Cricetulus griseus: one gene and its partner. The protein of the gene in region 2 interacts with the protein of the main gene of each other region in a pairwise test. Links are inferred from orthologs where the notes say so. Each region holds a gene or a part of one and is shown on either strand. Other genes may lie near its edges. The genes, in order: Cby1 and Cibar1.

Evidence for each region.
Region 1: the proteins of Cibar1 (region 2) and Cby1 interact in binary tests that used the Homo sapiens proteins (3 or more experiments, as listed by UniProt). The two-hybrid records come from large-scale screens. The link is inferred for Cricetulus griseus from reciprocal best matches to the Homo sapiens genes CIBAR1 and CBY1.

What each region holds. Positions count from the first base shown.
Region 1 is NC_048595.1:376,827,548-376,831,816, reverse strand, and holds the start of Cby1 (protein chibby homolog 1), read right to left. Parts: upstream 3,028-4,269; 5' UTR 2,928-3,027; intron 541-2,927; 5' UTR 507-540; coding exon 429-506; intron 1-428. UniProt on the Homo sapiens protein: Inhibits the Wnt/Wingless pathway by binding to CTNNB1/beta-catenin and inhibiting beta-catenin-mediated transcriptional activation through competition with TCF/LEF transcription factors.
Region 2 is NC_048595.1:126,381,320-126,385,827, forward strand, and holds the start of Cibar1 (protein FAM92A), read right to left. Parts: upstream 2,954-4,508; 5' UTR 2,912-2,953; coding exon 2,679-2,911; intron 2,200-2,678; coding exon 1,965-2,199; intron 1-1,964. UniProt on the Homo sapiens protein: Plays a critical role in regulating mitochondrial ultrastructure and function by maintaining the integrity of mitochondrial morphology, particularly the organization of cristae.

The DNA of each region.
Region 1 (4,269 bases), about 250 Mb from region 2:
CACTCAGCTTGAGTTTGATCTTTAAACGTGACTGAAATTAATTCTTGGACAAGTTTTGAAACTAAAATGTAAGTCAGACTGTATATCATCACCTGGGACCAAAACCAGAATGAGGCTTAGCTATCTTAGTTGGTTCTCTTTTCTTTTTTGAGACAGGGTTTCTCTGTGTAACCCTGGCTGTCCTGGACCTCACTTTGTAGAGCAGGCTGGCCTTGAACTCACAGAGATCCACCTACCTCTGCCTCCTGACTGCTGGGATTAAAGGCATGTGCCATCCTGCCTGGCTATTAGTGGGTTCTTGAATAAACTCTGACAGTAATTCCCACACAGGAAGTCAAAGTTGACTAATGATATAAACTGAAAGGGTGCCCTCCCACAGTGTGTCTCTCCACCCAGACACCACTTGTGGCACCCCAATCTCCACTCACAGAATGCAGATTGGAGAGAGAGGCAGACTTCCGAGGAGGGGTCTTCTTTGGACTGAATATACTCCCAAAGAGAGGCATTCCTGACTCGAGGAAACTCCAGCACTTCCTTCTCCTAGGGTCAAACAGATCAGAGACTTTATTTCATTGTTGTCAAAACATAAAAACATTTTAGCCATTGACAATTACCAATCCTGGCAATATCTACTGGCAAGAGTTGTCCTTTTAGATAGAACAGCAAAGGGAGGCCTGAGGTCCTACAAGTCCTGGTAGGAGCTCCCAGGCTTTGGATGCTTTGTATGCACCAGCCACTATGCTAATGCCATTGCATGATCTCCTTTAACTCACAATTAACCCTTGACAAGCCCCTCCTAGTCACCCCATTTGGTTGGTGACATCTAGAAAGCTAAGGTCTTCAGTGGCAATGGGCATTTGAACCAAAGTATGTTATGTTATGTTCACAGTTATGTTAAAAGCCTGGCCCAGGTTGGCCTCACCAGTATTACAGTGTGGCCCAAAGAATGAGATTTCTGTCCCCAGAAGCCAGTAAGAGCTGCGCTAGGAACACTAACTTCTGCATATCCGCAGAAGATAGTTACAATCTGGGTATTTCATTCCCAGAATGACAGTGGTGCTTATCACTTGGTCCATGTGTCAAGTCACCTGTCCTGTTATGAGAGGTAAGGTTTCTCAAGAAAAGGAGAGAGCTGGAACATAGTGGAGCTGACCATGACACTGTCACCAATACACCAGCTTTAGTCACAACCTCTTGCAATGCTCATAAAATCACTAACATCATTCAAGTTTGGGAAAGAGGTCAACTTTTCTGTTGTTGTTTTTCGAGACAGGGTTTCTCTTGTGTAGCCCTGGCTGTCCTGGAACTAGCTCTGTAGACCAAGCTGGCCTCGAACCCAGAGATCTGCCTGCTTCTGCCTCCCGAGTGCTGGGTTTAAAGGCATGCGTAACCAACCCACGGCACATCTTTTTAATTTAAGTATAACTAATAAAGAGAAGTTTTAAAACCTCAAGGTTTCATGGCAGTTTTTAAAATGTATGTGTTTATGTGCTGTATGCATGTGTACATGTAGAGGTGTGTGTGTGTGTGTGTGTGTGTGTGTGTGTGTGTGTGTGTAGGTACAGAGTCCAGAAGAGGACACCAGGTCTGGTGCCCTATCACTTTCTGTCATATGCCCTTTAGACAGGGACTCTCACTGAACCTGGAGCTAGACTGATGGCTAGCAAGTCCAAGCAGTCCTTTTTCTGTCCCCAACAATGCTGGAATTACAGACGTTAAAGTCCACATCAGGCATTTTACTGGGGTGTTGGGGACTTGAATTCGGGTCCTCATACTTGTACAGCAAGCACTTGTATTCACTGAGCCTTTTCCCCAGTCCTCTTCACAAATTTATTTATTTTTTGGCCCTTCACAAATTAACACACACACACACACACACACACACACACACACACACTTCTAGATCAAGGCATAGACCATCACAGCACCCTGCATGACTCTCTGGATGACTTTATAATCAACTGGCTGAGATCCTAGGGTTTTTTTGTTTTGTTTTGTTTTTCAAGACAGGGTTTTTCTATGTAGTCCTGGCTATCCTAGAACTCACTCTGTAGACCAGGCTGGCCTCGAACTCATAGAGATATGCCTGCCTTGATTAAATACCTTTAATCCTAGGGTTCTTTAGTGAAGCTTTCTCATAGGCAGGGCTCAGGATCAAGAAAGTTAAGGGGCCATTCCTGGTTTCCAACCAACACCAATCTGAGCATTTTATACCAAGGGCCTCAAACGCTTTATCTGTCGTTATTGTTTCTCTGTGTATGGGTGTTTTGTCTGCATGTAAGTCCTGCGTACCACGTGCCTTGGGTCCTCAGATTCCTGGAACTGGAGTTACTGGCTGTTATGAGCTGCGAATGGAATCCGGATTCTCTGCAACAGCAACTAGTACTCTTAGACGAGGAGCCATCTCTCTAGCCCTCGAGTCCCTTATTTATAACCAGGAATAATAACAGCACCCAGCTTGGAGAAGTGCTTTCGTGTTTACAAGTTGTTGGCACATTTGATGCTCACCATAACCCTGGGAAGCAGATCAAGCTGTGCCCCTCTCAGGGAACTGTACTTACTGTGCGAAGCTTTAGTTCCCATCAGGCTATAAAATGCATTATCTGAATTCATCTCGACAAGAAGGTAAAGGAAGCACCTTCGGTTTTCACTCGATTCTCAAAGGAAAAAAGTGTTTCGAAAGACCTAAGGGCCAACTTTAACTCTGCAGGCGCACGGACACAGAACCATAAGAGTTCAGTACCGGTTTAAGACACCCTTCAAGTGATGGGTCAAAACACCGTCCCGAGTCACCGAGGCAAGACGCGCCCGCGGAGCATACCACCACCCGGCCTGCCCACCACCCTCTCCAGTGGTACCAGGGTGTCCCACCCACCTCCCACCCACCATGGCTAGCCCGAGACTTCGAATGCCGCTCCCAGACGTACCTGGTGCGTCTGCGAAGTGGGAGTCCAGAGCTATCCCCAAGCCTTCTGCAAGCAAGGATCCGCCCACACCGCGTCAACCGCCGCGACTGCGATTGGCGGGCGCCGGGCTCCCACCGCGCGTGTGCGCCGCGGCTATGGCCTTTACCACTAAGGACGGAGGGGGTGTCACCTCCCAGATGAGCCTACGCGGAGCCGCTGGGCCCCCGCGGGTCCCCTCCGGTTCACCGAGAGAGGAAGGCCTTGGGAAAGTCTTCTGGAGTTCCTCACGTGCTAAGCGGCATAGGCAAGGCGAGGAGTGGGCCCCTAAACACGTTGGTCTGGCCCCCGGGTGGCGGCGCCGTCGCCATGGTAACCGCGGGTGGCGGCCTCAGCGCCGGCTCAGGGCTGCATTGTTATGGGAAGGGAATGTGTTAGTGACCTGGGCTGGACTCACAGTAGCAAAATGGCCGGGTCTCCGGCTCCCCCGCCCTGGCCACAAAACAAAGCGCTCCCATTCCCTGTGATTTGGGGGCCGCGGGTGCCGGCAGCCATCCAGAGCTTGGTCGGGTCACCGGAGGGACCCGTGGTGGAACCGGCCCTGAGGCTTTGGGATTCCGTCGAAGCTTTCAGGTAAGACAGGACGACACCTTGCCAGCAGCAAACCGGCTCCTGCCAGGCTTGCCGCAGCCTCATGACTGTGAGCAAGGGAAACAGGTCCAGGAAGGTCGGTCGCCCAATGAACAAGGGGCGGAGAACTGGAGAATCCCCTCCAGAATTCCTCAATTCCTAACGGCGTGTACTATGTTCTGTTTGGTAAATGAAGAAATGGGCCACCCAAGAGATGTTTTCTAGCGGCCTAGCACTAGGTATCATTCCAGCTGTAAGGGACAGGACCAGGCGGTCTGTGGGCAGTTTTCCTCCACCTTTGCCACACTGCATTAGAAGAGAGAGTTTCACGTTCAAAACTAGCCATATCTAGCCTAGCACTTAATGTTACAACAGAAACATAAAGCAGACCACACTTGTAATTTGCAGCCTTTTGTTGTTAAACCCTGAGCCTTGTGCACGCGGATCCCACGCTTTACCGATGAGCTATGCCCAAAGCACCTTCGGGGTTTTTTGTTTTGTTTTGAGATATGGTCTCACTGGGTAGCCCAGGCTGCCCTGATTTCTCAACTCATCCTGCCTTGGCCTCTCAGTGCTGGGAGTACACACATACACCAAACCCCTACGCTTTTTTCCTTTTTAACACTTGGGATTTGACCCTGGGTCTCACTATGTAGTTCTGGCTGGTCTCCAAATCCTCCTGTCTCTGTCTCCAGAGTGCTGGGATTAAGGGCTAGTGGTACCACACCTGACCCTA
Region 2 (4,508 bases):
TCTACACTCAAACATTAAAAATGTAAAACACACAGCAACAGCCTCAATCACAAGCACCTGGAACACAGCCTGACAGGAATGTGCCTGGCACTTCAAAGCGCTCATCCTTGAACAAGCACAGTGTTTACCTTACAGCTGCAGCTTCTAGGACGTTTTTAAGGCATCTATAGTTTTAGGACAGCTACCATTTTCATCATGTGTTCAAGCAGATACTGTCAGATATTACAGATACCCGTCTCCTAATTCCTATAGCTCAACTTTTCAGAAAGCCTGAATCTGAAAGATACAGTGTTACTAGGAACATTAAAGACTCTCAAAAGCAAACAGCTTAGGGATTATTGTATGAGCTGCATTTTTTTTAGACAGCCATTTGACTTATCAAAGTCTAGAGAACAAGATAAGTGGGATTAGATTAGCACTGCTGATCTGCCAAACTGTACAGCTGATCTCTTTTTATCTAGAATTAAACACTTTCTCATACTCACTTAAATTTTTATCAAAAAATAATAGTAACTCTCTTACTAACACTAGTCAAAGAAACCGAAGAAGTATCTTTTCTACAAATACACAGGCAAGAAAATGATGGGGTACTGCAACTTTGTCAGGGTGGGCAAGTAGATGGCATCTGTTGCTTAAGACAAACATTTTTTACAGCAAATAAAATGCTTTTCAAAAATGATACATGTTTATCTAATCAATGCCTTTCCATTTCATACCCAATCAATGAAATTTTATTTCATATTTATGCTTTATTTTCTGGAAGTGATGCTATATAGATGTTTCATTTTAGAAGGTTTTAGGAAGTATAAAATGTAAAAAATAAGTTCCCATCAGTAATTTACATATTCAGAATTCTAAAATCAGAGTTCTGAATACTCAGGACAGTTTACACCATTGTCAATAACGTACACGGAGAGGATTATTCAAGCCTGTTCTAGAGGCTTCCATTTCTTTCCCTTGCCTACCTTTGTCATGTTCATTAGCATCTCCACCATTTGGTAAGCAGGGAAACAGAGCAGAGCAAATGCAAATCAATTCACTTTGCTATTTGATAAGTAGCATAAAATTTTTCAAGAAAGGGGAAACTACTGCAAACAGGGACTTTAGGATTATCTGTGCATTAAAAAATACTTTTAAAATACTAAATCTTCAGTTACCATGTATAATTGAGTATTGCTTGTTATAGAAGAAATGTATGCCAAGAAAACATTTTCCTTACAGTATCCCAGAGTGATCAGTACTCAAATTTTGTATGCATAATGATAAGTTCAAAAAATTTTTGGTAACTGAAATGTAAACAAGGAAAAGAACAATGGCACTTGTTTAAAAAGTAAAAGAGCAATGAAGTTTAAACTAGGCAACTTTTATAAGTTAACTAGCATTTAAAAGAAGGATGTGAAAGTGCTTATGTGGGTTTTTGTTGTTATTGTTTTTTAAGAAAGAACCCACAAGAGCAAGACTCTGGTCACTCAAAGCAACCACACAGCCAACCTTTCCGATACATCACTTGGTTTGCTTCTGTTTATAAATCACAGCTTTCTGACCGTTCAACTTTCAAACCAAGGGAATATCAGCACTATGCTGACCATTTATTGGGAATTTGTTCATTTTGTCATTTTCAGCATTTCCATCTCTAGCTGTCCTTTAAAGCGCACTTGATGTACCCAGGATATGCAGGTGCTTTCCTTCTTATAAGTGCTGTATCTGACACCTTTTCTGGACACTTGCACCCTGTAACCAGAGTTGGCAAATGAACCGGGAAATTTAAGACTCAAACACACCCAAAGTTTAGTTTGAAAGCTGTGAATTCATAGAAAGTTTCCCTATAGCGGACTCACAGACAGGAAATGCTCCATCAAGTGTGCATTCGCCGGGTTAAGATAAGTTACAATGGAAAAATCTCCACAAATCCTACACACTACTTCTTGTGTTTATAATAATGCCACCATGACCGAATTTCATACCTCTGCTTGGCGGTAATCTTGAAGTTTGGCAAACTCGTCAGCAAAGCTTTTCAGACCCTGCTTTAAATTTGGGGTCTCGGTAGAGGCATACAAGTTGATTTCATTCACCAGGAGATCGGCTTTGTCTCTCAGTCTGGCAGTTTTCCGTACATAAGCAGCAAAGATTTGGCAAAGCTCTCCAAAATGCTTCTCCACATTGGTGACAGCAGACTGCAGTTGTTTTGTTTGAGCATCTCTAGAAAAAGGAGACACTGTTTTAAAAATTAAGATGGTGTCCCGTTAATTTTATATGCAAACACTCCCGGGGCATCCCGAAGCCCAACCTCCCCAACTGTCCCGGGGGCCGTCCTATTCTGGGACCCCATTCAGTATCTGGTCCTACCCTAAGACCATGCAGGCCCGGGATTAGGCCCCGGCCGGGCCCGCAGAAGAGGCGGCAGCTGTGAGCCCTGGCCGGGGCCCAGCGGCCTCCCGGGTTCTCTACCTCGGCAGGGCCTGGCCAAGCTCAGTGGGATGGGTCGGCTGGGAGACTCTCTCGGCCTGGTACTAGCTGAAGCCTGGGGGACGGGGTGCAGAGCGCTCCGGGGACCCTGCGGCCTCCTCCCACCCCGGCCGGCTTCGAGCCCTGGGCCCGGCTCCCCTCGCCCACCCGATCCTCTCCCCCGGGCGGTTTGCAGGACCAGGCCCCTGCAGGACGAGGTCCCGAGCAGTTACCGGTCTTCCAGGTTGCGTCTCAACATGTTGCCTTGCTCCCCGCCGGAGACCCGGGGTGGGAGCCCAACGAGCGCGGCTCTGGGGCGCCACGGCGCGCGGGAACAGGAGCCACCGCCACTTCTACCGGGAGGCGAGAGCGCGCCATGCGCGCCCCCGCGCCTGCCCGGCGTTTCCGTGGCAACGCGGCGCGCGCCCCTGTGGTCAAGAGCAGGGCAAGAGAAACCAGAGGGCATTGGGTTGAGGGACCACAGAGCATCCTCCTTCAGTGCTGCTCTCAAGCTCTCCTGAGCCTCTGGAAGCAAAGGAGAAAAACAACCCACCAGTAACCGGAAGGAGCACGAGAAAGTAAAGGTGAATGGGGTCCGGGCTCTGCTTCTGGCAGTGAGGACTTAATGCCATGTGCCCACGCTTCTTTGTTGAATGTGTCATGCTGGCTCTCAGAAGCTGCCTTTGGAAAAGAGCAGCTGAATCAGTTAAATTTCTATTGCTGTGATAAGATCATGACGAGAAACAAGTTGGGGAGGAAAGGGTTTCTATGGCTGACATATCCCAAGTCACAGTTTATTTGGGAACTCAAAGCCGGAACCTGGAGGCAGGCACTGAAGCAGAGGACATGGAAGAAAACTGCTTGCTGGCTTGTTCAGTTGGTTTTCTTATATACCCTGGGACCTCCTGAGCAGGAGTGGCACTGTTCACAGTGGGCTGGGCCCTTCCACATTAATCATCAATCAAGGAAACCACCTTACAAATTTGTCTACAGGCAATCTAATGGGGGCATTTTCTGAATCTAGGTTCCCTCTTCTCAGATAACTCAAGCTTGTGTCAAATTGACCAAAAAAAAAAAAAAAAAAAAAAAAAAAAAAAAAAAAAAAAAAGAATTTAGATAGCACAAAAAACAGTGCTTACTGCCTCATCTTTCAATTCACCCCTCCCCCTGCAGATGATGTTAGATCTAGGGAATAAGTCAAAGAAAGAAGCCATGGAGTGGGCCTGGATGAAAGTCTCCACTTTGAAGACACACGGATAACCCAGAGCTTTTCCTTTAACTTCTGAACACCTATGGCCTAGACTTGTGTGTGTTGGGGGCGGGGTGAGAAAGGGGAGGGGAGAGAAAGACAGAGACAGTGAGACAGAGAGAAACTTCTCTTTCAAATGAACTCAGTTTCCAAATCAAGCTTTATCTGCTTCACTGGGCTTCTCCCATACTTGACTAGTACAGTCCTGATTTTGTGTTGTCTCCTTGAAGCAGAGAAAATGTGATTTTTGTCTTGTGCTCATCAGTGCCTTCTACAAGTTTGTGAAGGGTTATCTTGCACAAATGGATGTCCCAGTCTTATGTAACTTTTGCTTTAAATTCCCCTATTTTTTCATGTTGTAATTTCTATTTCAGAGCCCGACATGTTATTACTTCTGTTTTAGAACTCCTTGCTCTCTCATGTTGTAAACTCATCTCTTCTCCATTGTATTTATTGCAGAAGCCATCTGTCAAATGCCCATAGTCTCTGAGAATGGAGTCCTAACCAAAGGTCAGAAGAGTCTTTGCTCTTGTGTATTGTGACTCACTTCTTCATATGTTACATGCCTTTTTAATTCAACCTTATCACCTCCTCCCATCATCATTTACTGTCCTCCTCAAGACCACTGTTATGTTGAAGTACAGCAAAATACATGCACTTCAGATCATGACAACTTTTCAAAGCTTTCACTGTTCTTATAATCAGATTTGAAATCCGAATTCTATTAAGGCTGTGTCTCGTGCCTACCCATGTGCCTTCTCTTGTTGCCCTGCAGGGTTCTACTGCATCATCTTTCTGTTCCTGGCAACACCAA